Alligator mississippiensis: one gene and its partners. The protein of the gene in region 1 purifies or fractionates together with the protein of each later gene. This does not show direct contact. Links are inferred from orthologs where the notes say so. Each region holds a gene or a part of one and is shown on either strand. Other genes may lie near its edges.

Region 1 (6,835 bases):
AAAAGTCCCAGAGGAGTTTTCCACTAGATTACCTCAAGAAAGAGAGAGGCCCTCCTCTTGTTTCTGCAATGCTCAGCATGACATGGACAAATATATCCAGCAGCAATATATTCTGTGGTTGACTCCCAAGGCAGACAGTGTGACAAGTTTAATTGCCTCAGACACTCGTCTGCCATGACAGAAATGAAGTCTCTGAGTTGTCTCTTTCCCTTCTCAAACATCATGTTTATGATAATAGCATACCAATAATCTTGAGGGAAATGTTTGCCTGCTTCTGTTAATCCTACAGCCACAAGAAGAAATTTAGTCCTCTCTCATTCTTTTGGTGCTAATGTGCCAAATAACTTAAGGCTCTTGATAAACTCTACTGACAAACACATTCAAGCACTGGTGGCTCAGGCCAAGAAATATCAGCAAACAAGACCTCAATACGAGCTGAACAGCAAGAAAAAGAAATAGTTAAAAGTAAGAAATTCTTTTGTACTGGAATACAGAGAACTAGAAAAACATTAATGACAACAGACTCTTATTCAGCTGAACTGTACCACAAACAACAGGAAGAATAAAAGAATATTCAGCAGCACTTCACTAACATTCAGAAAAAACAAGACACTTTGTTCACTGCCACACTTGGAGGCAAACCTGGGTGCAAAAGGAACATTTAGAGATCAGTATTTAGACTTGAGTGTGTTCTAGGTTCCCTCCTCACTGTCATCTGCCACCAATGCCCTCCAGGATTAAAAAAAATAAAAATTAAATTAAATCAGAGCTGCGATCCTGTTACTGGTCAGAACCTTGCAGTGTGTTTTCCTGGAAGAAACTGTTCTCTTTTCTACTTTTACAAACATATAAACTCTCACAGGCCACCCTATTTCTTTTGTTTTAAAGCTTAGCTAGTGTATTCCTTATTCACTATTATATTTATTATTGATTTTAATCTATTCCATAACTCAAATTTAAAAGTAGGTTGGTTGAACAATGTACAAAAAAATCATTTAACCTTTGTTGGTCAGTTTCCACATTAACCCTTTGTTTGTGAAAACCTTTATCTAGATCAGCAGCTGGCAACCTTCTCAAGCCTCAGGCCAGAACAACCTAGCTCTGGTCCAGTGCAGGCCAGGTGGTTTCTATGGTGCATCAGCAGCAGCAAATTTATCCCTGTGCCCATACTGGCACCATGCAGCTAAAAGCTGTGTCTATGCCACCAATGCTTCTCCCAACCCCTGCTTCCTGGCTGAGGCATGGGCACAGCTTCCAGGTGGTGGGAAACTGCACTGGAGCCAAGCAGCTGGAAGATGTGCTCATGCTGCTGTTGCCACTTCTGTGCCACAGCTGGGAAGTAACAGGATGTGAGGAAAAGAGGGAGAAGCAGCGGCAGCAGCATGGACGCAGCTTCTACCTGCCCATCCCCGGTACAGTTCCCCATCAGGGGAAGCTGCATCCACGCTGCAGCTGCAGAGAGGCTAGGGGCTGGGGGAAGAAGCAGCAGCAGCAGCAGCAACAACAGTACAGTTGGAAGTTGCCTGGCCCTGGTGCAACTTCTTGCTGCTTAGCCTTGGCATTAGCACAAGCAAAGCCCTTGGGCCATATCTGGCCTGCAGGTGATATGTTGCTAACCTGTGACCTAGATTGCAAGCTCTGTGGAACAGGACTCTGTTACATGCACGTGTAGGTCTTAGTGAACTCAACACTCAATAGGACGGCTTCAGTTCTCTGGCCCTGCAGTTATCCCTCTCAGCGCACCTGAATTATGCTGTTTTCTTTCTTGCACCCAGTACAAGTTTTCATCTTACCTTAAAACCAAGTTGAGCTGCTTTGATAGCAGCAACGTAGCCTCCAGGACCAGAACCAATGACTGTAACATCTGCGTCAACTATGGAAAAAAAGAATATCACTTTTAAGTTACTGTTGTTTCTGTAACTTTGGTTTACTGCAGTTTCATTGTGACAGCCTACAATGCTCCACACACTGACTGCCACAGGGCAAAAAGAGCACTAGTTTTAGAACTAAACTAGAAATGCTCCTTCAGTTCCCAAAAATGATTTCAGAGCCATCAAGACTTACCTTGCTCTGCAAAGGTCCTCTGCGGCACTGTGCAAACCCCTGGAAGGCCATGCTGGACTCGGCTAAAACAGCTTCTCTAGAAAGGAAAAGCAGCATCGGCAAAGTTAAGCGCCTCGGCACGGCACTGGCAGCCTGGGCCACCTAATGCAAGTCTCTCCAATTCCCAGAGCCGCTGCTGCTGCACACAGGACTGACCCCGGTTATTTGGAGTCAGGGAGGAACATCGCAGTCAGAGCAATACCGACCACGGGGGTTTTGCCTTCCTCTGTAACGGGGGACGAGGGCCTCTACCCAGGCCCTACTGAGCGTGCACTGACAATATTTTATAGAAGCAGCACGCCCGCAGCCTGGGCTCTCCTGCTTTTGCTGCGACACGTTGGGGTGCTATGACCTGTCACGTGAGGGCTGGCAGTAGTTTTACACAGAGTTTAGGTGTGAGGTTGGCCTGTAGGGCCCATCCTGCCTCAGACAGCAGGTTGCACCCAACGACCTGTGCACACCCCTCCCGCCCCCTTGGCTTTGCCTCCCTGACCCCGAGCAGCCATGACCCTGAGCAGCCTTGACCCCGAGTGCAAGGGCGAGGGCCAGGGCAGCCCCCCCCAGGGAGCCCCGCGGCTTGTACCATTCGGGGGGGGGAGGTGGCTGGGGAGGGAGAAGCAGGAGGGGTCCCACACAGACCCCCCCACCTAGGAGTGAGACACTCCATGCAGGGGGCGGGGAGGAAGCACCCCCCGCCCGGGAGTGGGACGGTCCATGCAGGGGCGGGGGGGGCCGTGCGTGCCCAGGGAGGGGCTCAGCGAAACGCAGGCAGCGACCCCCCCGCCCCACGCGGTACCCGGGCGAAGGCCCCGCTGACACGGCTCCAACCCTGCATTGCCCCAAGGTCTCCGCGGACTCGCGCAGGCGCACTAGACCCGGGGGGCGGGGCCGTGGAGCCGCCGAGGAGGGCGGAAGGAGCCTGTCGCGGTCAGAGCGCCCCCTGGCCTGGCGGCCCGCGTGGGGGCGGGGCCATGCAAATGAGGCCCTGGGAGGGCCCGCGGCGGCCCCGCCCCCCGGCTGCGAACTCTCGGGGCAGCGCCGGCTACATGCGGAGCAGTTTCGTGTTGGCGAGCGGGGTCTGCGGGGGCGAGGCCCTGCACGGCCTGTGCAGGAAGAGAGAGGAAAGCCAGACGGCCTCTCAATTAAACCTCGCCTCTACTGGTGTTTTGGGGGTCACTTATTTTTTAATGATGCCAGAGGCATCTACCAGTAAGTCCACCGAGGAGTATGCGGAGCAGTCGACTAGATGCCAAAAGAGCAATACTATTGTCAGGGGAAAACTCTTACTAGAAATCATTTTTTTAAGGTAGTCTTTAAAATGTCTGTGGCAGTTCAGTCTCGGACTTACGCCGACAATTCAGCCTTTGCCAGTTCTCATTCTCTGCATACGACAAAGGCTGCCAGGAGGTGGCAGTGCTTGATTAGCTCCCTGAAGGAGGTGGACCTCGTTATATTTATACAATCAGAAAGTTAAGGTTGGAAGGGACTTCAGGAGGTCATCTAGTCCAACCCCCTGCTCAAGGCAGGACCATCCCCAAATAGATCATCCCAGCCAAAGCTTTGTCTAGCTGGGTCTTAAAAATCTCCAAGGATGCAGCATCCACCACCTCTCTGGGTAACCTGTTCCAGTGCTTTACTACTCTCCTAGCGAGCAAGTTTTTCCTAATCTCTAACCTACACTTCCCTTGCTGCAATTTGAGACTATTGCTCCCTGTTCTGTCATCTGCCACCACTGAGAACAGTCCAGATCCATCATCTTTTGAGCCCCCTTCAAGTAGTTGAAGGCTGCTATTAAGTCCCCTTCCAGTCTCCTATTCTCTAGACTAAATAAGCCCTGTTCCCTCAGTCTTTCCTCATAAGTCATGTCCCTCACCCCCTCACCATTTTTGTTGCCCTCTGCTGGACTGTCTCCAATTTGTCCACATCATTTCTGTAGTGGGGGGCCCAAAACTGAACACAGTACTGCAGCTGTGCCTTCACCAGTGCTGAACAGAGGGGAAGAATCACTTTCTTTGATCTACTGGCAACACTCCTACCAATGCAGCCCAGTTTGCTGTTAGCCTTCTTGGCAACAAGGGCACACTGCCGGGTTATATTCAGCATGTAACCCTCAGGTCCTTTTCTGCAGAGCTGCTGCCCAGCCAGTCAGCCCCCAGCCTGTACTGGTGCATGGGATTGTCCCATCCTAAGTGCAGGACTTTGCACTTGTCCTTGTTGAACCTCTTGAGATTTCTTTTGGCCCAAACCTCCAATTTGTCTAGGTCACTCTGAATCCTAGCCCTACCCCCCAGCATATCTATTACTCCCCCCAGCTTGGTGTCATCTGCAAACTTGCTGAGGGTGCACTCTGTCATCTTCCAGGTCACTGATGAAGACATTGAACAAAACTGGCCCGAGGACTGACCCTGGGGCAGTCCACTTGATACTGCTGCCAACTAGACATCGAGCCATTGATTACTACTCTCTGAGCCCAATGCTCCAGCCAGTTTTCTATCCACCTTACAGTCCATTCGTTCATATGCTTCCTTAGCTTGCCTGCAAGAATGTTGTGGGAGACCGTATCAAAAGGCTTGCTAAAATCGAGGTATATCACATCCACCAGTCTCCCCACATCCACAGAGCCAGTCACCTCATCATAGAAGGCAATCAGGTTGGTCAGGCATTACTTGCCCTTGGTGAATCCATGCTTACTGTTCCTGATCTCTTTCTTCTCCTCCAAGTGCTTAGAAATGGATTCCTTGAGGATCTGCTCCATGATTTTTCCAGGGACTGAGGTGCGGCTGACTGGTCTGTAGTTCCCTTTCTTAAACATGGGCACTATGTTTGCCCTTTTCCAATCATCCATGACTTCCCTTGATCACTGTGAGTTTTCAAAGATTATGGCCAATAGCTCTGCAATCTCGTCAGCGAACTCCCTCAGCACCCTTGGGTATATTCCATTTGGCCCCATGGACTTTGTCACAACCCAGTGATTTTAGTGCCTCGGCACAGTGGAATTTTCCTGCCACATGAGAGTCTCTGTGCACAGCAAAAGTTTTCTGTTGCAACAGAAAACTCCGGTGCAAGAGAGTTCCTGCCATTCGTATGCAAATTTGTGTCCCACTATTGGCCAGTTCTAAATTATTCCTACGTGGCGGCTAGCGATTGGCTTGTTAGCCGTATAAAATTCTGTGCAACTTCCGCCCAAGTCGAAGAACTTTGAGCACGTTGCAGAGTGACTTTGAAGATTCCTGACTCATGGCTGAGCTGATCTATAGCCTGATCAACTATCGATTTGTCTCCCCGTCGCCGAGCGCCATCCCTCGACGTACCCTTTCCCTGCCGGCCTGGTTCGTGTACGGATTCGCTGGCCTGAGCCTTGCCAGCTGGAGCAACTCGTGTAGTTGTTTAAGCGACCGGACCACCTGCGTTGCGGCTACTAGCGGCGTAAGTAAAGCTTATTTGCAACCAATATGCTTTGTCTGCCTCTCCATTCACCAGCCCGCCCAACAACCGAGTAATTTCTAGATCACCTCAAGTCGGCCCTGGCCGTCTGAGACATGGTGACGAGGATGGGATCTAAGGGCATGGTGATGGAGATGAACCTAATTGGGTGCTGCCCTTGGCGCACCGGGATCCGCTGCGTGGAAAATGCAAACGATCTATGGGCGCATATCGCCTACCACCAGGCGGTAGAAGGGGATAAACGAAATATTGACGGCTACTTCTCCGTAAAGAAAGAAGAAGTGGTCATAAAAGAGTGGAGAACAAAGCTATCCCTTGGGGAGTTCGGGTGTATAATGGGGAGCGACCGGGTCTACTGTCGACCCCCGGAGGAAACATCGACCATATCCCTAGCTGGGGTGAAGGCGCGGAAGGCAGAAAAGCTGACCCCTGCTCAGGAGTTTGCTCAATGCACCCGATACCTGAGGGAAGAAGGGGAACCCACCCCAACGGACTGGTTCAACTGTCCGGATTTGGTGCCTGGGTCGCGGGGTCATGAGCTTCTCGTTCAGCTCCGGGAGGACCTGGAGACCAAGGGCCATCACTTGCCCAGATGGGGTTTAACCAAGTGGAAAAAGGGAAAAATGATGAATGTGTTGTTCCATACAGTAGCGGGTCTACTAAGGGAATATGCAAATTTGGAGGTTCAGCTGCATACGGTGGGTAAGGAGTCGCTGGAGTGGAAGGCAGAGAGCTCCAGAGCGATGCTTATCAATAGCGCCGGCCGCATGATGCCGCTGATAGAAAATGGCGCTGAAAGAAACGCGAGCCATCCGGAAAACCCGGAAAGGAGGGGCGGAGTTTCGGAAGACCCGGCGGGGATCTGCCTAGCAACTCCGCCCCCTGAGGTGACGTCGTTCCCAACGGCCCCGCCTCCTTGCCATGGGGAGGGGGCAATGGGAGGAGGGATGTACCCAACGCTCCCGCCTGAAGAATTTAACTCTCTCTCCGCCGCAGCTCACCCGATAGCTGTGATGAAGCGTGTTGCAGATGAAGAAGGTACCACGCGTACCACTGTTACTTCTCGCACGCGCACCCGACCAGAAATACAGGAACTTTGCAGAGAATCTAAAATAAAATCAGAAGAGACTTTGGCCATGTGGTTGGGGCGACTAATAGTAGAATTCGGATCTGACATCTTAGACAAGGAAGAAGCGAGTGCCCTGACCCGACAAGCGGCGTGGAGCGGAGGGCGTGCTACTGATCTGAACGTGGTCACGGACAGTACACACTGGCCCATCCCACTCCC
Region 2 (7,339 bases), on another chromosome or scaffold:
CCAGGTTGTCAGTGCCACGTCAGACTCTCCAATGCCATGGCAGTCCTTGCCCACTTCCTGCCAAGTATCTGACAGCCTGACTTGGGAACCTTGAGCCAGATCTTAACTTCCCAGCCCCACCACAGTTCCCACCAAGCTGGGTGAGGCTGCCAGCTCTCCATGCCACATGCTGCCATCCCAGACAATCCTAACCACCTATGGCTCCCCCTCAACACCACTTCCTCACACCAGGCCAGATAAAAATCCTTTTGTGGAAGGGCTTCATTTTGAGGACAGACTAATAAGGCTAAGTCTGCTCAGTTTAGACAAGAGAAGCTCCCGGGGGAGGCAGGATCAGGGTTTAACAAAATGCTAAGTGGCAAAGAAAGTCAATAGGGATTTCTTATTGACCATCTCACCAGTCAAGTATGAGGTCACAACATAAACCGACAGCCTGCTCATTTCAAAACCAATACAAGGCAGTTCTTCACCAAGCGGGTCATTCAAGAGTGGGACTCATTACCATCAGATGTGGGAGAAGCTGAGAGATTGGCCAGATTCACCAAGAGATTGGACATATGCTTGGGGGAAAAAGTGGCATCAGTAGCCAACAAGTACAAGAGTGAGTAGCACAGCCTCCTAGACCCTAAATGCTGAAGGCTGCAAGTGAGAGAAGGAATGGAAAAACTTCTGGTCATACCCAGGTCACTACCCCTTTTGACATCTACTCTCTGCCACCGTACGACACAGAAGACTAGACAAAATGGACTTAGGGTCTGACCGAGGCTATGGCAGCTCTTTAGGAATTGCATGGCACCACATAAATCCAGCAGGCTGGACTGGGCTTGTGGGCCATATCTATATGCCATCCCTGCTCCAAAGTTCTTGGGTTATCCCGGTCTCATCCAGGGTTATATAAAAGTACTACAAAGACTGAGTTACAGTGTGATAAGGTCTTGCTTTACCCACCGGATGACCTCCTCAGCTGTGATAAATGTTACATCTGGCCACACGCATCCTGAAGAATGCCTGGCACAGTAACTATGTAGATCACATACACAGAGTAAGGACATATGTAGTGTGTGCGCATACGTGTGTGTACATGTGAATGCATGTGTACATTACACACAACAAGCTGTCGTGAGCCTAAGCTCTTTTCACCAATTGCTGGGAAAGGACCTACAAGCAGCAGTGCAGAAGAGAGATCAGAACAGGAAAGACAAGGGAGGGGGAGCTCATGCCTGCACACCTCACAGGGCTAGCATGGCACCCCTGATAGGATCGCAGTGCACACCAGAGTACCCTCAACGCTGTAGCATGGACTCCCTACCAGCAGGAGAGCAAGGGATAGGGAAGAACAAGGCACCAACAACTGTTGCCATAACAGCAGATGCCCAGAAGGGCTGGACTGGCAACTTCCTTGCTTTGCCTTTGAAACACCCTTCTCCCAGCCTGCCTCAGAGGTGCCAGGCAGGGAATGACACATTCCTGGGAGGTCACACAGTGCTGACATGAAGCATAGGTCCCAGCCAGGCAGCTCCATCAAGGGCAGAGCTAAACCCCGAGAGGTGGTTAATCCTGCTAGTCTGAAGCCAGAGTAAAGACACACCTTATAGATGAACTAAATAAAGTCTACAGAGACCAAGAGAGCACCAGCTGGGACTGATACTAAAGCTAGGGCACAGAAGGGAGCTCCCTAAGGGCTTGTCTGTGGGGTCCAGCCTGGGGGAAAGAGCACAGGTTCTTCCTCAGTGCAATCAAGCTCAGACAGCTCCATCCAGCACTGGGGATCTCGACACCCATGGTGAGACTAAATCCCCCAGCTTTACTCACAAGAACAGGGGTGAAAGCAGTCCCAGGGTGGGGAGGCCTTGCCTGGAGTCCTGTGGCCAGTTCTGAGCCCTGCACATTATGGAGGAGGTGGACAGGCAGGAAAGAGTCCAACACAGGGCAACAGAAAAGATCAGGGGCCCAGGACACAGGACTGATAAGGATGGGCTGGAAGAGCTGGGGTAATCAAGTCAAGTTAAGAGAAGCCTGGGGGGGGGGGGGGGGGGGGGGAGGGGGATTGGATCCCAGCCCTCGAGCCCCCTGAGGGCAATGACAGAGGATGGACGGGTATGGGGACAGGACGGGGAGCAAACAGCCTCAACTGCAGCAGGGGAGACTAAGGCTGGCATCGAGAAGGGACGTGCAGGCTGCCCAAGGCCTCCCAAGTCTCTGTCCCTGGAAGTGTCCAAGAGCAGGAGCAGCAAACACTCGACTGGGAGGGTCTGGCAGGCACATGCTGCACAGAGCAGGGGGCTGGACTCTGCCAACTCCCCCCCAGGCTCCATGACCAGGGACACTTGCTGTCCTGCCCCACAGCTGAGAGCACCAAGGTCTGCCCAGGGCCAGGGGGCCCAGTACAGCAGCAGCCCTGTCTGCCTGCCTGGGGAGCTGCAGGGGGGGGCCAGGGAAACCGGGAATGTGGGGGATGCCCCACGGGGGACAATGCGGGAGGGGTTAGGGAACCTAGGAGGCTGACATCTTCCCCCCCCAGCCCATGCAGGGGTGGGGGAATGTGTGGGTAGGGAGGAGGGACCCGGGAGAGCGGGGTGTGGGGGATGGGCAGGGAACCCAGGAGGCCAGCAGGCGGGCGCGGCTGGGTGATCCTGGGTCGGCCCCGCCCCCAGGCGCCGGCGTCCAACCCCCGCAGCCCGCCAAACGGGGCAACCAGTGAACAGGCAGAAGTGCGCCGCGCCGGCTCCCCATTGGCCTGAGAGGCTGTCGCTCGGCGCGCCAGCCCCGGTCCACTCCCCCGCTCCCAGGCGGTGCCCGGACAAGGGCAAGTCGAAGCCGGGGACGGAGGGATGGAAGGGGTGCACATGCGGCCGCCGCGGGTCCCCGCACCGCGCCACGCCGCGCCCCGCCGCTACAGTACCTGGCGTCACACGCGTCCCCCTCGTAGCTCCACTCTGACAGAAGCGCCCGGTCAGCGACAACTACCGCCCGCGCGGCCGCCCTACGCCTCCGTCACCGCCCAGGCCCCGCCCTTTGCGCCTCGCGTCACCGCCCAGGCCCCGCCCTTATCTTTGCGTCACCGCGTAGGCCACGGCTCTACACGCTGTGCGTCACCGCCCTGGCCCCACCCCCTACACGCTGGCTTGCCCCGCCCCCTACGTACTGCCCCGCCCACAGCGTGACTGGCAGGCGTCCAGCTGCCAATGGGCGGGGAGACTAAGGGGCGTGGCCAGGCAGTAAGTGGAGGGAGCTAGCGCGGGAGGGGTGGGGCCTGGATATTGCCTTCGTGGCGGGAGTCTGTTGTGGCGCGTGGACCCTTCCTCTTGATCCTGCTGAATGTCGTCCTGCCTCAGTTTCCCCATGCGGTGTGGAGAGGAGGCTGGGCTCCCACCTTGGCACCTCAGTCCCCCAACCTGGAGCTACAGACAGATGTCACCTTAACCCCTGTTAAGGAGGTGGGGTCTCACATGACCCCTTCGGTGACAGAGGGGCTGTGATGTCATAGCCACTCAGAGTGATGTCACCGGACAAGCCACTCATTATCCTTAATGCTGCCCAGCGCAGAGGAGATGGCAAGTGAGGCAAGAGCAGAGTCTGGGCAGGGGACACTATGTCCCGGCCTGTGTCCCCTAGATGGGAGAGAAGCAGCTGTTGCTGGGGAATCTCAGAGCCCCCCAGGCTCATTCCCACATTCCTGCAACCCCCGCCCCTGATAGCAGGGCTCTGTCGCCTCTGCCCCAGGGGACTCCAAACCCCTGACTGCTGCTGCTGTGTCCCTGCCCCCAGCTCCTACACCAGGAGGGGCAGGAGTCACTGTGGGGGTCCCTTTCAGTGGGACTAACCCGTTGAGGCCAGGTCTGGGGAGAAAGGAAGGGAGGTTTTATTGAGGGAGGGGTAGAAAATCCAGCCAGGGAGGCTTTGGCTTCATCCCAAATCACCAGAACTGGAACTTCCTTTTTGAGGTTTGGTGGCCCACGGAGGCCTCATCCTGATCTCTGGCGCTCGGTTTCTCAGTGCTGAGGGGCAGGGATGTCTTCGAGGGATCTCTACCACACATTGGGGTAGAGTTAAGGACATCAGAGCTGCCAGGGACTGCAGAGAAGACCCTCAGTCCATCCTGCTCAAACTCCTGCGTCACGGGGCGGCAGAGAGCGAAGGCTAGAAGGGAGACCGCTGGGTCTGAGCAGGGTTTGTTCCTCTCTCATATGCAGCCTCCAGCAGTTAGGATCTGTGAAGCTCCAGTTCAGAGGCCATGCATCTCACTGCCGTGCTTTCTGCCATGAACAACTCCAATCCCTCCATGAATCTGGCTGGACTCTCAGCTTCCCCCATATCTGCTGGCAACAAGTCTCACCCTTGAATGACCCGCTGGGGGAGAAAGAACTGCCTGATGTCTGTTCTAAACCAATGACCTGTGCCTTTCATGTTGTGACCCCTCGGTCTTGTTTGGGAAGAGACAGTCAGTAATAAATCCCTATTGATTTTCTTTTTGCCATTTAGTTTTTTGGAAACCCTGATCCTGCCCCCCTCAAGTGTCTCTTTTCCAAACTGAATAGGCCTGCCCATCCATCCACCCACCCCACACTCTATCTATCCATCTATCTGTCTACCCAGCCCACACTATCTGTCCTTCTATCCATTTATTCACCCCACACAATCTATCCGTCTTTCTATCCAACCCACACTATTTATCTATCCGTCTATCCACCCCACACACCCTCTCTCACTCTCCGTCTCTCTCACACTAGCCTCCATACACTCATCTCATAGGGAAGCCCCTCCATTTCAGTTATCATCCATGTTGCCCTTCTCTGCACCTTCTCTAATTCTTCTGTCTCCTTCTCGAGGTGCAGGCACCAGGCAACAGGATACTTCCTGTATTATTTGTAGTTCCCTTCTTCATCCTCCCTTTCTGATGGTTACTGAATGTAGGTAAGATTTCAGATGCTAGGCATTGTTCACCAGATTTGAGCTGCAGTGAGGATCAGGAAAGGATCCCCACATCCTCTGCTTAGACAGGCGGGAGAAGGTGGAGGGGCTGCTTTCCACTGCAGCAGTGGGCAATGAACCCCCCCAGCCAGCCCTCGTTCCCTGTGCCAGAGGCTCCCAGCTTGTGCATGGGGCTGGTCTGCGGTGTTAGGAGGAGCTGGGAGTCTAAGATCCCCCTGCACCTGTGAGCCATCAGGATCCATCCACCTACCGCCTTGCACAGCTCGGCACCCTTGGGGACAGTGCCCAGTGCCTTCCCTGCCCCTGGGGCAGGGGCTGAGATGGGAAGTGCCCAGTGCCAGAAACTCTCTGAGGAAGGAAGTCAGAAAGCTGGGAGTTCCCCAGGCTGGGTGTGATGAGAGAACAAGGAAAGCAGCTTTCCTATGGCTCCTTTGCATTGGTACCAGGCCCAGCAGATGGGCATGGGCATGGGAGCGGCCTGCCTGGGCAGGGTAGAAACCATCACCCAGTTGAGCTGTGCATTTCCCTCCTAGCTATGATCCAAGCACCCTGCAGCGCTTTTCATCCTCCAGGACCCATCCCTTCCCTCATTACCCTTTGCCCTGCTCCTGGGGACATGGCTTCTAGGGGGAGCAAGGGCTTGCACCTATCCTCTGGGGGTTTCAGGAGTGGGTAATCTGTGGCTGGGGGATTGTTAGCTCTGCTTTCCCTTATCGCCTATAGAGAAGTTCAATCAAGAGCCTGCAATCTGGGGCACATTTGCTGGTTTGGGGGAAGGAGAGGTCTTGGACCCACCTCTTTGGGTTCCCAAGGGCTGGTAGGGGCAGATGTTTGGCTGCAGTCAGGTGGGGAATGAGGACACAGCTGTTCATTACGAAGTTCACCTGGATTGACCAAGCCAGGTAAAGAGCGATAAAAATTGCTAATGAAAGTAGTGGGGGGAAACAAGGAGCAGTAGAATTCTGGCTGTGTACCAGAGCGGCCAATGGCAGCAGCGAGGGGGGGCAAGAATGCAGTGTGGGATGCTTGGAGGCCCGACCAGATCTGTTGCAGAAGGCTTGGTATCTACCTATAACCGCACTGGATGGAAGTAGCCCTGGGTTTCCTGGCCACATGGTTGAACCATCCCAGGTGGCTTTAAACCAGTACAACAGGTGTGTACAGTTGTCTTCTGTGGGTTTCAACTGGATTTAAATGGGGCTAAGTGTGTCCAGGCCCTGTGGCTCTATGCCCGGTGGTATGTGAATGCTGTAACTCCACATACATATCAGAGCCCCCAGCCTTAGTCAGAGGCTAAAATGGGTGTGTGGGTTCAGCTGACTCTGCTTCCAGGTCCAGCAAGGGAATAAAGGGGTCAGGAGGGGCATCAATGCCAGGCTTTTCTCAGTCCAAGTGGGGGCTGAAGGGAGCTATTAAGCAGAACCTGGAGTTGGTTGGGGGACTAAACGAGTTGCTTGTTTTCACAGAGGCTTCCGCCATGCTTGCCTGGAAGGTTTCATGCTGATGGCAACACCAGTGGGTGCCTATCCAAAAGCTCCTCTGGGGTGACATATCAGCAGGAATAAACTGGAGACAATCCTTCGTGGACTAGACATAACCCCTGCGACCCCCACTGGCCCTCTGGTTCCATCTGATTCCCACAAACCCTGCTCTTCCACTTGCCATCTGGTCTTTTCTTTCCTTTCCTCTGGCTGCGAGGAAGCTGGATGCCTTTGGACACGTCAAGGGGCTTCTGGTTCTTCAGAGCCAAGAATCACCCAACCCAGAGAAGCTGGAATGCCATCTTTGGGACTGATCTGTGGCTGGAGAAAAGCAGTTAAAAAGCTCTGGGAAGGGTGACTGTGAACGCCAATAGAGAAGGCATGGCCTGGTCCACTGGCATGATGCTACGTCCCCGTGAGCTACAGCCACCCTGCAGGGATTAAGACCTGGGCATGGGGCAGGACCCATAAGGAGATGGGCAGCAGGCTGTGGGGCACTGAGAGAGGTGCCAGCAGGGCACTGAGGCTGCTGCCAGGTTTTGCCTGGCCTGGCAGTGCCATGGGCACCAGGATGCTGGCTTGATGCCCTCAGCACTGCCTTGATGACCTCAGAACCTTCTTGATGACCTAGATACCTTCTTTATAATCTCAGTATCACCTCTATGTCAGCACTCAAAGCCAAAGCTCTGGGTGGGATATTCTCCCAATGTCAGCCCTGGGCTTGAGTGTAGTCCTAGTTTCAAGCCCAATCACAGCCCTGCATCAGGCAAGAGGCAGGGAACCAGCTTCCATCAGCACGGAGTTTCCCACTTTCCAGGCTGCAAAGGAAGCCCCCAGGAGCTGCCAGCATCTGTGGCCATGACGCCAGTGGGGAGCCCGCCCTGACATCAGTTCCCCTGCAATCACTGCCCGCACTGGCCCAGGCT
Region 3 (7,299 bases), on another chromosome or scaffold:
TAGCACTTTAGACTCTCCTGCCAAAACATCTGTCACCTTAGTCCTCCAATTCCTTTCTTTTCATTACAGGCAGTCCTTGACTTGTAAGTGCAAAATGTTGCAACTCGAAATGTTGCAACATTTATAAACTGACACCCTGTTTCAACTTTCTAACGTCAGTTTCGACTTTACAACGCTTGATCTGATGTGATACCACACCAGTGAACAAGTTCGCTGCATCACTCATCTCCCTGGAGAACATCTGTCCAAACTTCCTTGGACACTTTCTTTAAGAAAGCAGACAAGACTCCAGAAAAACCTGCAGCCAAGACTCCTGAGAAGACTCCAGCCAAGAACCCTTCAAAAAGTCCAACCAAGAGCCCTTCAAAAAGTCCAGCAGTCACCTCAAAGAAGTCCTTCCAAATCAATATGATTGCTATTTACAATATAAATACATTAATGTAACTATGTCACTCATCTATAATTGATCGAGTACAAAATTCTGGGGTATTTTTGGTGAACATAGGGTATCAGGCCTTGGTTCAGGAACCAATCCCCCATTTATAACATTGTTTCTTATGAGAAAATTGGTTCCAAGTTACAACATTTCAACTTAAGACCCGGTTTCCAGAAACCAATTGTGGTAAGTCCAAGGACTGCCTGTACTAACAATTGCTAGGATTGAAGAGGGACTTTTAAACTAAAAGATCAGCATGGACTTCCTGAACTACTGATGTTAGCACTCAGGAAAGACTGAACCTCCTTTTCCAGCCTTTATAATTTACTTTTCATTAACAAGTTCAGTATTTGAACCTTGCTGCATATTGTTCTGCGCTGACATTCTGTTTAAACTAGCAGAACCTCCCTATGTATTGAATACGGCTTTCAGCCAGACTGAGTAGCCAAACACAAGGAGCTCAAACACTTTCCTGCCGTTTACAACAATGTTCTAAGTGCCCCAAGTTGACCCCCACTTTTGGCCCTTACTTCCCTTTACCACTCTCAAGTGGGGTGAAGGAACGGTTGGCTGGGATACACACTCTGTAAAGCCTTTCAAAAAAGTTTTTGCAACAACTGTAGGAAGTAGCCAAAGACAAATGCTCACCTAGTTCCAAATGAACCAAACCATCAAACTAGTAGCCACGTGGCACACTAGTTCTGTCACTACAGTGGAGGACACTACTGCTCCTATTAGCCACTTGCAAGAGTAGCGCATATAACACACCACTGCAAATCTATATCTCATTTTACAAACCAGGTTCAGCAGACAGAATATGCTAATTACCTGTTGTGTTGAACAATCCAAACACAAGCTGACAGAAGGGAAAAATACAGCATGAAAAGGCAGAACGAAGAGCAAAAATCTGGAGAAGACATGGCAGAAAGAAGAAACTATCCCACAAGCATGGATAGCATAACAAGATGGCATGAAGGTGAGGGCATGAGAAAAATGAAGGAAGCATCAAAGCCAAGTGATTGGGAATACAGAAAAGAGACAACAAAGGAAGTGACAACATTAGGAGTGTGGGATGATACAGGAGAACAGGTGGGGAGGAAAGAGGAGAGATCCGAGATGATGTTTTCTTTCTTTCTTTCTTTTTTGTTTTTTTAAATAACCCCACAAGAGCCTGGAAGAGTCCCCAGAGAGAACAACCAGCCCACAACAACTTCAATGTAAGAAGCACAGCAGAGCACTGCACCTTTTTGAAACAGGGATCTTTTCGCATCGCCTGCCTGTGCGGCAGGTCGATTTTGAGCAGTGCCTTCTTACAATTCTCATTTTCACTGGCTAGAAAGAAGCGCCACGACTCTGCACAACCTTTCAGCCTGGGCCAGTGATGTCGGCCTTGCTCGCTGTCCGTCTGAGCAGCACTTGCAAAGCTCTAAGTGTCCATCAGCTACGGCGTCTGTCGCCAGGGGAAGCAGCTTACAAAAGCCTGTGGTATCTCCACCAAGAGCTCTCAACCTGGCTGGACTCATGGCGCCCCCTTGGACCTGAGGCAGCCGCTGCCCACGTGCCAATCTGCACTAGGGGCTGTGACTGGAAAAATACCAGAGGCACTCTTCCACCAACAACACTGCGCACAGGGCACGGCAAGGCAGGGGGGCATGTGCAGAGCACATTCCCACATGATGTCAGTGGGTAGAGGTGGCACATGGCGGTCGTACGATGAATGGCCTTTTAACACCTCACCGGATTTCCTGGGCCAGGCCCGCCAAAGAAACTATAACCCCCTCTAACACAGGGGTCCACTAGAGATGTGTTACTGAATGCTTGGGACAAATAATAATAAAAACAGGGATGGGAGCAGAGGTCAAAGGCTAGAAACACAAGTGCCAAGAGGGGACACCAAGCAAAGCAGAAAGGACAGCGCCCGCCGACGCGGCGCCAACCCAGCGTGGAACCTCGAGGCCCCCTGGAGATGACCTCGAGGCTCCTGAGGATGCGGCCTCCTGGCTTAGCCCCACTGCCCTACCTCTACGCAGGCTTTTCCCCCTAATATTATCTTTTTCAAAATACTTTCATCCTGCTAGAAATGCCCCCATTCCCTCAGGCACAGGCGCTCCATGGGCAGCCCAACGCTCCCCCGCAAGGACCCCTTTGGACACCCGCTCCCCCGCGTAGACCCCCACTGGCAACGAAGCCAGGCCCCGCCCCCTCCATGTCACTCCCGCTACGCCCCCCCAACGTCCCCTCCCCCCCTCGGTGGGTTCCGTATGGCGGGGGGGTCTCGCGGCCCCCCCCCAGCAGTACCATTCGGACCGGGGGCAGGGGGATAGATCAGTCCGGGCTGCCGGGCTCTGCAACAGGCCGAGTGTGTCCCCCCTCGCTCACCGTCCGGGCGGCGGCCGGGCCCTGCAGCACGCGGGAGAGCGCGGCCAGCAGCATCTTGCGCATGGAGCGGGGAAGAGGCCGCAACGCCCAACGCCCGCCCGTGTCCTCGAGTCTCCTTCAGCGCCGGCCAGGCCCCGCGGCCACTACCTCCGCCGCACCACGTCCTCTCGTTGGGCCGACCGGAATCTAGCCCGGAGTGACAGCTCCGCGGCTGACAAAAGGGAGATTCGCTATAGAGTTGTGGCCGACCAGCAACGCTCCCCGAGTTCCACGTTCCTAAAGGAATTTGAACGAATCTGCCCGAGCGCTCGGCTCCTGGTTGCGCATGCGCACTGGGACTCCAGGGCTGACAGCCCAGGGGCCCTAGCAAGGCAGTGATGGGAGTGGAGGATCCCAGGGGAGCTCCTCCCCCCCCCCCCTTTGCAATTCCCAAAGTCATGTCATGGATAAACATTAATGTTCAGTTATTACAATAATTATTATGAGTTGTCAGTTAATACATTAGTTGTGGATTTTTTGTTAATAAATTATTATTATTTAAAAAAAAAATGTAGACCTGTTGAAAGTGCCTGCCTAGGTGGCTGCAGCCCCCAGGGCCAAGTGTAAAGTATCCATGGCTGGGGCATGCCTGGCCTGAGCCTTGCATTATTTGGCATTTGCCTCAAGTCGTGGTGCAGTGCAACCTTGTGAGAATCTGAGCTTTCCTTCCTTGATTTTATTTTCATGTGGACGCATAGCTCTCCATGTTGTAGAGAGCCAGGGGAATACACAGAGCTAGGGCCACCCAACCATCAAAAGAGCCAAAAAAAAAAGAAAAAATCATATTTGTCATCTCTTTAAAAAATCTGATTATTTTTGGACCGATTTCCTGATGTCAGGTGGTGAGAGAGGCCGATGCCTAATTTTTGAAGGCTTGGCCTTAGCTGTGTTGTATCTAACTGCTGCCTGGAATCGCAATTGCAAAAAAGTTAGGTAGTTGGCATGTAATTACCTGGGCTGGAGCTAATTATACATGTGGCCAAGACGCCAAGCTCAAAGCGAATTGTTGGTTACAATACGGTCATGAAGCTGACTGTCGATATGTTCCCTACTCAGTCAGAGTTGTATATTAAGTTTTAATCATTTGCAGCCTGTCTAGACAAGGGGATTTATGCTGACACGTCACTGCTTTCGTATAACTACTTTTGCTTTCGCTGGTATGAAGTAGTCATGTCTAAACCAACATCACTGTCACATGTGGGGAGAGGGAAGTTCATTCAAAGTGTATAGCATGCAGTGGGATTGGAAGTGGAAGATGGGGTTGGACATTAGACATCCCATGATTTTTTTTTTGCCAGGCCAGACTTTGACTCTTCAAGGTGCTGTTGCCATTTTCCAACTCCTAACTGATCGTTTTGGACAAGCCAGCCCTCCAAACTATGATGCTGGTAGTATGTAGGCATGCATACCAGTAGCATATACAGAGACTTATACAGATATATTTGACAAACTCATAAAAAAGCATTAGCTTTGCAAGCTAGCTGCCACACAAGCAACTGTGGCTTATGGAGAAGTAGCAGTTACAGGTGAGTTGTTTAGGCTCCGTGGGTTCGAAAATTGGGTTTACAGGAAAGGGATATGTCTTGGATTGCGATCGGCGATGGGGAGAGGCTAGAGGCGATTTGTTCTTTTGTTTCCCCTCCGGAGTAGTTAAAGCTCCGTGGGTTCGATCGTTAAGCCTCTATTGCCTGCTTGAGAAAAGCGTTGGGTCCGTAAGGATCCGCAGCGCTTAGAGATCTTCACACAGTGTGAAGTCTCCTCCTCCTGGTGTTCGTGGAGTCCTCCAACTTGGGCGGAAACCACTCAAGCCTTTTGTACGGCTAGCAAGCCAATAGCTAGCCGCCACGTGTGCCTACATTTAGAATCGGCCAATAATGTGGCGCGAATCGAAATGCAAATGGCGGGAACTCCTTTGCAACGTGCATCACTAGTATGCAAAAGAAATGCACCATGCAAAGAAGCTGCAAAACGGCGGGAAATCCCCCGTTGCACCGGAGTTCTCTCCAGCAGCAGAGAACTCCACCATGCAAAGAAAGCTACAATTTAGGCGGGAACAATAATTTAGCGGTGCTGAAGCACACACAAACAAAAACCACAACTTTGGGTTGTGACATTAAGGAGTCACAGTGGGGGATGCTACGGGAGCCCTTTTCTAGAATCATAAAACAAGGAGAGTGCTTTTTTAGAATCTCCCAGGTGTTTTGCTTGTAGCAAAACTGTAAATTAGAAAACCACACAATTTTTAAAATGACCACTGCTTCTCCACTGGAATTTGGGAAACCCTTGAACTCACCAGATGCTGACATTATAATCGGGAAGATGTTTCACTTTTAGAATCCTTGCTCTAGAATACCACTTCCCCCCTCCCCTTTCTGTGCTTTATTAATGACATCCCTCACACTATACAAAACACATAAAGATAACCACACATACACAGATAACTCCAAGGAGCTCAAAATATGAGAAATTATTAAGAAATACTGGGAATCTCAACAACGTGTTGATACAGAACATGCTGTATTAACTTATATTGTAGATGCTTTGGGAAAGAGATCTCTTATTTTTATTTGACTGAAAGTCAGGCTCAGTGACAGAATTATCAATAAAACATAAAATAGTTTAAAAATAATATTTAAAGCAAAAGAAAACCTTATTCTTTTCTACTGACTCCTAATTCCTACCAGGATTGTTATTAAGTGTCAAGTTTCATGCCTCTGGGCTTCTATTCAGTCTATTGCCTGTGCTATGAAATTTCACAAGCATTTATAAGCTTTTTCAGATTTACTTTATTAGTGAATGCTAAAAAGAAGTTACCCAGTTGAAGGAGTAGAAGGAAATATAGAGGCTCAGACAAGGGTGACTACATGTTATAGGCTGGGTTGGGGAAGGACACAACTAAGTTACATAGTAAGGATGTAGCCTGCTTAGCTCAGTGATGGGTTGAGATGGGGAATACGGGAGCTAAATGTGCAATGCTTACATAGTAAAGACTTGATCTTAGTGAAAAAAGGCAGAGAAGGAAGAAGAGAGAGTCTTACCTCAAATCCTTTTATTTTCTAACCAATTTTTGAAAAATCCAGGGAGATGCTTTACACACACACTTTATAGTATGTCTGTGTGCAAAAGATGTATTTGAAACCTTTCATCATTGTATGCTCTTCATTCAAGGATCCTCACTTTAGATATTCTTTTTTTTCCCACATCAGAGAAAACCATATTGGTGTGTAATCACCTATGCTCCATCAAGAGGAAAAGGCCCCTGCTTCATCCAAGTAATAGGAAGACTTCAAAGAAGAATACTTTCAGTATTTCAAAGATCTCTTCTGTTTCTTTCTTTTTAAGATATTGTAGAACTCAAGTTTCAGATTGATGTGTTATGAAAGAAAACTTGATAAAAGCTTTGCTGATAAAAGCTGACACTGTATCTCCAAAAAGCTGTGGCTCGAATGTGGCCGTACTTTTCGGAACCCTGACTTAGATATGGTCAGGTGCTGAGACTCTTTTTTTGTTGTTTGAGAAAGGAGAGAGTTTTAAAAACACTGAAAGTGATGTCTATCTAAGGATATGCTTCTCTGAAATGCTGCATGGCGGCAGAACAGTGCTGAGTAGATTCAACCCCCAGTAACTTCAATATCTATTCAATGTTACAGTAATTAGACTTTATATTTATTTTCTCTTAGCCAAGGATGAGGCTAAATATCAAGTTAGGAAAAAAATATCCAGCATATAATTACTTGTAAATTAAATACCGAGAGATGATACATATTGCATTTATTCCAGTATGTGTGAAGTCCTATTGAAGTTAACAAGTTCCTGTGCCTCCAAAGACTTACCAAGTTATGAGTTTCTGAAAAAACCCCACAGGTCACATGCTCAGCAAAAACATGTTCATGCTATTGCTTCTCACACCAGCTATGGACCGCATTGGTGCTGAGTGGCTACTGTGGTTACAGTGACTGACAGTGGACAAACTGTTCTTGCTGGGCTGTCAATAGGGAGTGAGTCTGGGATGTGGAATGAGTGTAGAGGAGATGAACTGGGATGAGAACAGATGGGATGAAGGTGGGCTGGAGGAGACAGAGAAATATAGGTCAAATGTAAAGGGGGCTGTAGCTTCTGTTACCATTCAAGTATATTCCTCTTAGAACCAGATGGTTCTGTAAATGCTTCTGTTGTCAGCCAAAATCTAGAACATCCATATGCAAAATTTGTGCCTCATCTCCCTCTAGTGGCTGGCAGGCACAAACAGAGGACAACAGTCTCTGGCTCAAGGGGCAGATGTTCCTGTTCCATCCCTGCAGAAGAGCCACATGGAATTTACCACTTCCTTCAGGAGTCTGTTCCAGTAATCACATTCAGTGTTAGAAACATGACTCATGTCTCATTTGAATTTGCCTGGCTCAGCTGCCAGCTATTTGTTCTTGTTGTTCCTTCTTCTGCAGTAT
Region 4 (7,952 bases), on another chromosome or scaffold:
GTCTGCATCAGTAAAACAGTGTGGAATCCTACCAAGTGTGACAGTGTTTTGCAATCTCAAATGCAAACTTCCACCTTGCTGGCAAAGCACAAGCATGGCTGAATCCCTCTTTAGCTCAGGAATCAAAGCAGTTGAGAATGAATCCAATTTAAACGAAAGATGTTTTTCATCCTGGCCTGAAATACCACTGAGTGAGTGGGACATACCTCACACTCCACCCCTTCTTTGGCAAGGACAGCAGCTGCTTCCAGACAGTGTCCAACAGGCCTCGAGTGCGACACTAACGTAACGTGCTTTCCTGAAACACAGAAGCTGGTGGTGGATCAAGACAGATCTTCCTGTCAAGCAGCTCAACACTAAACATCTCTGAAAAGTTAAGTGTAAGACCTCACCTTTTTGACCTAGCTAAAGTCTAGCGTACTCAGCATCTGACTTGCATGTCAGGACTAGCCTGAGAAGTCTGTTACTGGAACTCTTCCTGAGTTCGACTACTTAAGAGCATCGTTCTTGTGCTCTGTGTATTGGCAGAATGGATGGGATCAACTTGCTATGCCACGAATAACAAGTTGCTTGCATGCTTCTACAGCGAAGTTATACACAACTGACAAGAGGTTTGAAATGCTGCACATTAGTGACCTTTCTTGATATGCTGAGCAAAGAATCTAAGCTCTGGTTGTGGGTGTTGTTTTCTTTTCACTCGTTTCAGACAGTCCAACTGCACCAGGCCTAGCTGGCCACTAGAAAGTGTTTTAATTGTGGGTCAAGATGGCCCTGCCCTAAATTACTTTGTCTGTGAGTAATAAGTGCTAAAAACAAATAGCTGGTAAAATCCAAATGACCAGAAGTCTTAGTAGTGTCCTTCTGAATAGTTCCCTGTTTTGCAAGAAGGAAGTACTTTATAAAGGAAAGCACTTAATGAGTTCAATTGGTCTAGCAAGGAAAGAGAACTTTTACAAGTGAGAATATACAGAATAGTGGTATTCTGAACTTACCCGGCCTCTCTATTTTGGCTTTGCCAATAGGAACCAAGAAGTCCTTTGATTGCGTTTCCTCCGACATCTCAAAGGGAACTCCATACATCAGTTCATGTTCCAGCATCACAACTAAAGATCATTAGAGTGGTCACTTGGGTTAGTCTGGAGGTCCCCCAATCCAGGTGCCACACAACATTTTCCAAGACTGTCAGGGCCCACGATGGTGGACTCCTCCTCTCGGCTCAATTACAGGAGGACAAGCATAACGCAGCAGCACGCTTAGACAAGCCCAGAGGACTCGAAGCTTCACTTAAGTAGCTATTAACTTGTAGCACTGCACAATTTTGAAATGGCTTCTTTGACTGATCCCACAGCCAGAGGGTGATTTCACACTAAGCATTTGGAGATGCAACATTTGGGGGGTAATCAGAAACCCAGAACTTGCTCCCAGACGGCTTCCACATCTGTTCCACAGACACGCAAGTGACGGCTACAGGACTGGGTCTAAAGGGCCAGGGCTATGCTTGTCATCCTTTTCCTAGGACAGCAGTGCACAAGCTGACCGTCGGGGGGGTGCCCATATTCTAGTTCAGCGTTTCCCAACCAGTGCCGCAGCGTGCTGGGATGGAGCCAAGCCCCTGCCTGCTGCTGCTGTGGGTGGACACAGACAGACGAGGAGCATGACTCCAGCCCAAAACGCTGCTGGGCCGGCCGTGCGCCACCCCGCTGTCAGCATCCGGCTGGCCACACGCCACCCCCTGCGCCGTGGTGCTTCTTTATTGGGAAATGCCAGGGGGAGGAAAAGGTTGGGAAATGCTGTTCTAGTTTAACTTTGGTTTTGAAGAAGAGGTCGCGGTCAGGAGAAAAGGTCTCCAGGATTACCTTCACGATTTGAGTCCCACGCTTTAAGCGCGTTCTTCGCGGGGTCAAGGTGGAGAAGGGAAGCGGAGGGCGCGCCGAGACTAGTTATTCGAGTACAGCGGGACTTCCTGCTGGTAATTACCTGGATTGTCGTCCCGGATGGCCGACTTGAGCAGACCTCTCGCGTCTTCGGAGCTCCATGGGCTGACCACCTTCAGCCCAGGGCAGTGCCCGTACCAGGCGGCGAAGCACTGCGAGTGCTGCGCGCCGACACCGGCCGAGGTGCCGTTGGGGCCCCTGAACACCACCGGGACCGAGACCATGCCGGAAGACATGTAATAGGTCTTGGCAGCGGAGTTGATCACCTGGTCGATGGCTTGCATGGAGAAGTTGAAGGTCATGAATTCGCAAATTGGCCTCAGCCCAGCCTGTTAAACAAGGACACGGGCCAGTCACGAAGCCTCGTCCGGCCTCCTGGCGCCCCCCGTGCCCTGGGGGGGTTAACCCCGCTCCCCCTTCCCGCGGGGCTGCGGCGCACGGAGCGGGCGGTGCGCCCCCCCCCACGCCGGCCCGTTTCCGAACCGGCTCCTTGTGCGCAGCGCTGGGCACCCACCATGGCGGCTCCCACGGCGATGCCGGTGAAGCCCATCTGCAAGGGAGGGAAGGCAGAGGGGTGAGCGCGGGGCAGGGGTAGGGGCAGGGGGGCGTGGGGGGGCGGGGCGGGGCGGGGGTACCTCGGAGATGGGGGTGTCGATGATGCGCTTGTCGCCGTACTTCTTCCACAGGCCGCGGCTGATCTGCGGGCGCAGGCAGAGCGTGAGGCGGGCCCGCGGCCCCCCGCCCCCCCGCCCGCCCGGCCCGGCCCGGCCCGGCCCCGCTCACCTTGTAGGCGCCGTCGTACTGCGCCACCTCCTCGCCCAGCAGGAAGACGCGCTCGTCGCGCTCCAGCTCCTCGTCCAGCGCCTGGTTCAGCGCGTCGCGGACCGTCACCTGCGGCGCACAGCGCGCTCACGCCGGGCCCGCCGGCCGGCTCCCCCCGGCCCCGGCCCCGGCCCCGGCCCGGTACCTGCACGGCGGCGGGCGCCGAGGCGCGGATCCCCCGGCGCAGCGGGCCCGGCAAGCGGTGCAACCCGGCCCGCGCCAGCCCCCTCAGTGCCGCCGCCATCTTGGATGTGCCCTCCAGCGGCAGGGCGTGGCGTCACGCCCGCACCGCCCAATGGGCGCCCGGCCCCGCCCCCTCGCTGCCTGGCAACGGGGCGCCGCGGCGGCGTCTCGCGAGAAGCGGCGGCGGTGGCGTGCTACGTCACATCCGCTCTGGGTCGGGACGGTACGCGGCGAGGGACATAGTGCAGCGGCGCGGTGAGTGCGGCCCCGCGCCCGCCTGAGGGGAGTGGCCCTGCCCCGCGCCCCTCGCCCGCTGTCATCCCCTCAGTCTTCCCTTCTGCAGCCTCCACGAGCCCATTCCCCGCCCGCCGTGACGGGATGAAGAGGTAGCGGGCGGGCGGGCGTTCGGTGGCGCTCGCGCCGGCGGTTAGGATTTTGCCCCGAGCGGATGCGCGTGCTCCTTAGCTCGCGGGGCCGCCGAAGGGTGTTCCTGCCCAAGACAGTTTTATTTATTTTTATTTTTTTGCAAAACCCTCGTGGGTCGGATGAAAGAGGTCACCCCTACACGGGCGGCCCCACGAGCCCGGCTAGCCGGGCAGAGGCTCCCAAACCGGCTTCCCCGCAGACTCCGACACAAAATCAATGACGCATCTAGATGCTTGCTTTATTTATTGATGTATTTATCAAAACACGGGCTTGCCTGAGCTAATTGCTCCTATAAATTATTTGCTCGGTGTTACGGTGGCGGCGCTGTCGCCCAAGGGTAGCTTCGGGCAGCAAGATGTATCTGCTCCGTTTTCTTTGTGATCGCCCAAGCGGTGCCGTGGCGGGATGGATCCGTCCCAGGGGCTTTGGAGATGGCCTCTCTCCTGTCACACAGATGTTTGTCAGAGAAAATCTTTTCAGTAGATGGGTGCAGACCTCTTTATGTTTCTTCCCTGTTTAGAGTTGGTGCCATTGAGCATTTATTGAGACGTCATTGATTATACGCGTGTAAGTCGCACTGTTTTCCCAGGTCTGCTTCCCCCTCCTCTCCTTACTGTGGGGACTTTGTCAGAGGCCCTCCTTGCCCTTTTCCTGAAGAAGTGCCGCGGCCTGATGCGAAGTGTCCTCTCGCACCTTGCGCTGGAACAGAGCAGTCCCTGTCTAAAGGAGAAACCCAGGGTCTGCGCCTCCAGGCTAACGCTAGCGGGGGGAGTAAGTTGCCGTTGAGCTGGGAAGCACAGAACAGCTCTGCAGGCTCGTTGCCCCGATGGCTGGTTCTTCTCGCCTGCGCGGAAGAGCCGACGCTCTGAGTTCGTATCTCTCCCTCGGTCGGCAGTCGTTTGTGCTGTGCTGAGGCAAGCCTCCCCTTTGCCTTGTCCAGCATGACTCATCCACGCTGCCGATATTGTGTTTAACTTATTTGCGTTTTAGTGCTTGGGAAAAGGTGTAGGGTTGGACACGGGATTCTCCTGTGGCTGGGGACATGCGATGCCTGCCTTGTGTATGCCTCTGCTCTCCACGTGCAGCTGGCCTTTGGGGAGAGCTCTCACGCTCTGCCGTTGCAGTCCAGACCTTCTCTGAGCAGAAAGCACTTCGCTCTTGCCATGCTCTTCTCAAGTGGGGACACGGGCCTGTGACGGCTACAGGAGAGCAGGCTGTTTGGGTCAGAAATTGAACGCTACTTCTGTAGTCACTGAGTGGTGCAGAGCTCTGCCTCGGCTCAAGCGCTGTGACTTTACTTGCTGGGTAACACGTGCCTGGGTTAATTTGTTTCCCAAAGCTCCCACAAGATCCTTTCTGTACCAAACTGTTTGTAAGTCCTAGAGTTTAAGCCAGAGGAGACCTCTGCTACTGCCTAGCCTGGTCTGCCACCAACCCAAGTCACAGCATTTCATCCATCCTTCCAGCAGTGGCAGGATGGCAGGCTTTAATGGGACCTTGCCCTGAAGGTGAATGTTCCTGACTACCTATAGGAAGTTTTCTTTTACTTCCCTCCTGCTCCCCCCAAGTGACTTCTGAGTTCCTGCTGCTGCTGAGATACAGAATTATTGACTCATAAAGCTAGCACACAGGTCTCCACATCTACTGAGATGGACCTTCAGACATGAGATGAATAAATCAAGCATTTGGCTTATGTAAATGGGGTTACTTTTTAAGATAGATGTCCCCCACTCAGATGAATTGTAGCTGGTGTGCGAGTATAAAACTTCAGAAATGCCATGCAGGCTATTTAACAAATCTGGAATACTGAGGACAGCTTGTGAAGGCACTGCTCTCTCTAGATAGGGCCTGTCTTCAGGCAATGGAAAGGATGCTGGAAGATCAGTATAGGGAAGTCCTCATTTGTGGGTGTTGCTGCTATGCTGCCTGAATAGGTGACAGCAAGACCCAGCCTGTCTTTGAGTAGAAGCACTTAAAGACCAGCAATGCTTATAATCTGACAGATCTCTCTATTTATTTGTTTTATCTATCTGTTTGTCTGCAGGGGGAATAGACGTGAATTGTATATCCCTTCAGCAACCTTCTGTTAAACTTGGACTCCCACAGATCAAGCAACAGAACAGATGGATAATGGAGACTGGGGATATATGGTAAGTGAGCCAGTACAGATGTGTGTGCATGCTGAGAGAGACTTGGGCTTTCCAGATTTTAATGTAAGGATCCCCTCCAGTCTCTTGGCTTTGTATAGACCCAGAGAAGAAACTATGGGAAGAAAAATCTTATTAAAAACAATTTACTTACATTGTCTTTAGGTGTTTCATTTCAGTATGGCTGTGGGGCCTTTCACGTTGTTAATCTCCAGACAGTGCAGGGATTACATAAAACAGTGGGGTCAGCCTTTTTGGCAGCTGTGCTACAAACTAGCCCCACTACTTCCCCAAGTGCCGCACTGATCCTGTTCCCTGGCCAGTCAGCTGCTCTGCTTTCTGTTCCCTTCCTTGTGCTCCCTGCCTGATCTGCTGCTTTGCTTTCTGCTTCCTGCCTGCCTCTCTGTCTGCCCTATCTGCCACACGCCACACATGGATGCTGCCCAGGCCACTCGGGGCACGTAGGCTGACTTAAGACAACACTTACAATTCTCTTAAAAAGATCGGGCCACAATGATGGGCTAGGAAGTGTTGGAAAGCAACCTCCTTGATGTACAGGGTCCTGGAAAAAGCAAAATCTTCCATGTTCCTTTACGTATTTTGATGCCATTTTATTTGGGGAAAAACTATTCTTGCCTCTTAAACTGCATTTCTGAAACTAGGCCAGACTCGCTCATCTTATTATTGCTCTTTCCTTTTTTCCTCTAAGCATTCTCCTCTCTTTGGATACATCTGGCAGGCCCTCAGCCCTGGCCATGACTCAGTGACCGAGTGGGATCTGTATTTCTTCTCTCACCTGCCTTTCTGGGTGTGATGTGGGTGGTTATAGCTGTGGGCTGCCTCCAGTGCCCAGGTACCCCCTCTACACAGTCAACATTTTGTCTGACAGATGTGTCTTTTGCAAGCTGAGGCTACAGTATTGTCTTCATGGCTCCCTACAGCTGAAGCAAAAGTTGACTTTAAATGACCTTTAATTTTCTGCAAAGAGATTTGAGGCGTATTTGCTATGTTTCTCTCAAAGCATGAGACATGCTACGAGACGGATCCTTGGGCGTCTGACTCCGTCTGGTTCTGTAGGCTCAGAACGATCATCCTTTGCATCTGTTTGACATCCTGCACAATAGGAAACGCTTACCTTGCTGATGAGAGAGTCCTTTGTGCTGACAGGAAGCTTCATGCTGGCCTTAGTGTCTGTAAAGCACCTCACAATTTGCGCTGAGCTTTGGATATTCTCTCTTGTAACCAGCTGTGCTGTGTCACCAGGTTTCTTGTCTTTGCTCAAGAGTGAGGCCTTTCCTGGGTTTGCAGCTGAGGAGATGCGGTTCTTTCTTGAGCCCATTTCTAGCAGTAACTGCCATGTGCCTTGGTGATAAAATTCTCGTGGGGACTTGATAAACTCTGTCATTTCTCTCTTTCTTTCTAGATGACTGATCCAGTCACAATCAATGTGGGTGGACACATGTATACAACTTCCCTGACCACTCTCACAAGGTATCCAGATTCAATGCTTGGGGCCATGTTCAGGGGAGACTTTCCCACTGCCAGGGACTCTCAGGGTAATTACTTTATTGACAGAGATGGACCACTTTTCCGATACGTTCTTAACTTTTTAAGGACTTCGGAGCTGACTTTGCCATTGGACTTCAAGGAATTTGATCTGCTCCGGAAAGAAGCAGACTTCTACCAGATTGAACCCCTAATCCAGTGTCTTAATGACCCCAAGCCTTTGTATCCTATGGATACCTTTGAGGAAGTAGTGGAGCTGTCCAGCACACGGAAGCTTTCCAAATATTCCAATCCAGTGGCAGTGATCATAACACAGTTAACCATCACGACCAAGGTCCACTCCTTACTGGAAGGCATTTCAAACCACTTCACCAAGTGGAATAAGCACATGATGGACACCAGAGACTGCCAAGTTTCCTTCACATTTGGACCATGTGATTACCACCAGGAGGTTTCTCTCCGAGTCCACCTGATGGAGTACATCACAAAGCAAGGCTTCACGATCAGAAACACACGTGTCCACCACATGAGTGAACGGGCCAATGAGAACACGGTGGAGCACAACTGGACTTTCTGTAGGCTGGCACGGAAAACGGATGACTGATGTTTGACTCCACAAGAGCAGTGTCAGTGGCTAGCGGCTTTCTGGACAGTGCACCTGTGTGGACCTGGGTTTGACTAAACCAACAGCGTGTGCTGCTTTTTTTTTTTTTTTTGTATGACTATTTATTAATATTCATTAAGGTCTAGGGAAGTTACTTTCTCTAGCAGCTCTGTTTTTGTTTTGTCCAGAAACAAAAATGCATGTGCCTGTTCAAACTGTTGAGACACTTTTTGGGTAAAGGGGGTTCTAACAACCAGTGGGATAGGACCCTATGTGTCATTAGCACAGCTAAGTCATTTTGAAGTGCTAAAATTTGCCTCTGTTTTAAAT

What was found.
Region 2: the proteins of DLD (region 1) and OGDH purify together in Homo sapiens (affinity purification with mass spectrometry; 3 studies listed by BioGRID and IntAct, counting the BioPlex papers as one, with this or other methods). This does not show direct contact. The link is inferred for Alligator mississippiensis from reciprocal best matches to the Homo sapiens genes DLD and OGDH.
Region 3: the proteins of DLD (region 1) and PDHA1 purify together in Homo sapiens (affinity purification with mass spectrometry; 4 studies listed by BioGRID and IntAct, counting the BioPlex papers as one, with this or other methods). This does not show direct contact. The link is inferred for Alligator mississippiensis from reciprocal best matches to the Homo sapiens genes DLD and PDHA1.
Region 4: the proteins of DLD (region 1) and PDHB purify together in Homo sapiens (affinity purification with mass spectrometry; 3 studies listed by BioGRID and IntAct, counting the BioPlex papers as one, with this or other methods). This does not show direct contact. The link is inferred for Alligator mississippiensis from reciprocal best matches to the Homo sapiens genes DLD and PDHB.

Annotation. Positions count from the first base shown.
Region 1 is NC_081827.1:28,232,671-28,239,505, reverse strand, and holds the start of DLD (dihydrolipoyl dehydrogenase, mitochondrial), read right to left. Parts: upstream 3,004-6,835; 5' UTR 2,939-3,003; coding exon 2,900-2,938; intron 2,141-2,899; coding exon 2,065-2,140; intron 1,874-2,064; coding exon 1,794-1,873; intron 1-1,793. UniProt on the Homo sapiens protein: Lipoamide dehydrogenase is a component of the glycine cleavage system as well as an E3 component of three alpha-ketoacid dehydrogenase complexes (pyruvate-, alpha-ketoglutarate-, and branched-chain amino acid-dehydrogenase complex).
Region 2 is NC_081830.1:10,102,465-10,109,803, forward strand, and holds the start of OGDH (2-oxoglutarate dehydrogenase complex component E1), read right to left. Parts: upstream 3,015-7,339; 5' UTR 2,903-3,014; intron 1-2,902. UniProt on the Homo sapiens protein: 2-oxoglutarate dehydrogenase (E1o) component of the 2-oxoglutarate dehydrogenase complex (OGDHC). Participates in the first step, rate limiting for the overall conversion of 2-oxoglutarate to succinyl-CoA and CO(2) catalyzed by the whole OGDHC.
Region 3 is NC_081824.1:319,711,521-319,718,819, forward strand, and holds the start of PDHA1 (pyruvate dehydrogenase E1 component subunit alpha, somatic form, mitochondrial), read right to left. Parts: upstream 3,018-7,299; 5' UTR 2,879-3,017; coding exon 2,816-2,878; intron 2,753-2,815; exon of another isoform or gene 2,738-2,752; coding exon of another isoform or gene 2,735-2,737; intron 1-2,734. UniProt on the Homo sapiens protein: The pyruvate dehydrogenase complex catalyzes the overall conversion of pyruvate to acetyl-CoA and CO(2), and thereby links the glycolytic pathway to the tricarboxylic cycle.
Region 4 is NC_081835.1:892,647-900,598, forward strand, and holds the start of PDHB (pyruvate dehydrogenase E1 component subunit beta, mitochondrial), read right to left. Parts: upstream 3,016-7,952; 5' UTR 3,001-3,015; coding exon 2,902-3,000; intron 2,826-2,901; coding exon 2,718-2,825; intron 2,633-2,717; coding exon 2,570-2,632; intron 2,485-2,569; coding exon 2,449-2,484; intron 2,264-2,448; coding exon 1,978-2,263; intron 1,104-1,977; coding exon 993-1,103; intron 299-992; coding exon 207-298; intron 1-206. Other genes in the region: BTB/POZ domain-containing protein KCTD6, read left to right, coding at 5,489-5,515, 6,936-7,622. UniProt on the Homo sapiens protein: The pyruvate dehydrogenase complex catalyzes the overall conversion of pyruvate to acetyl-CoA and CO(2), and thereby links the glycolytic pathway to the tricarboxylic cycle.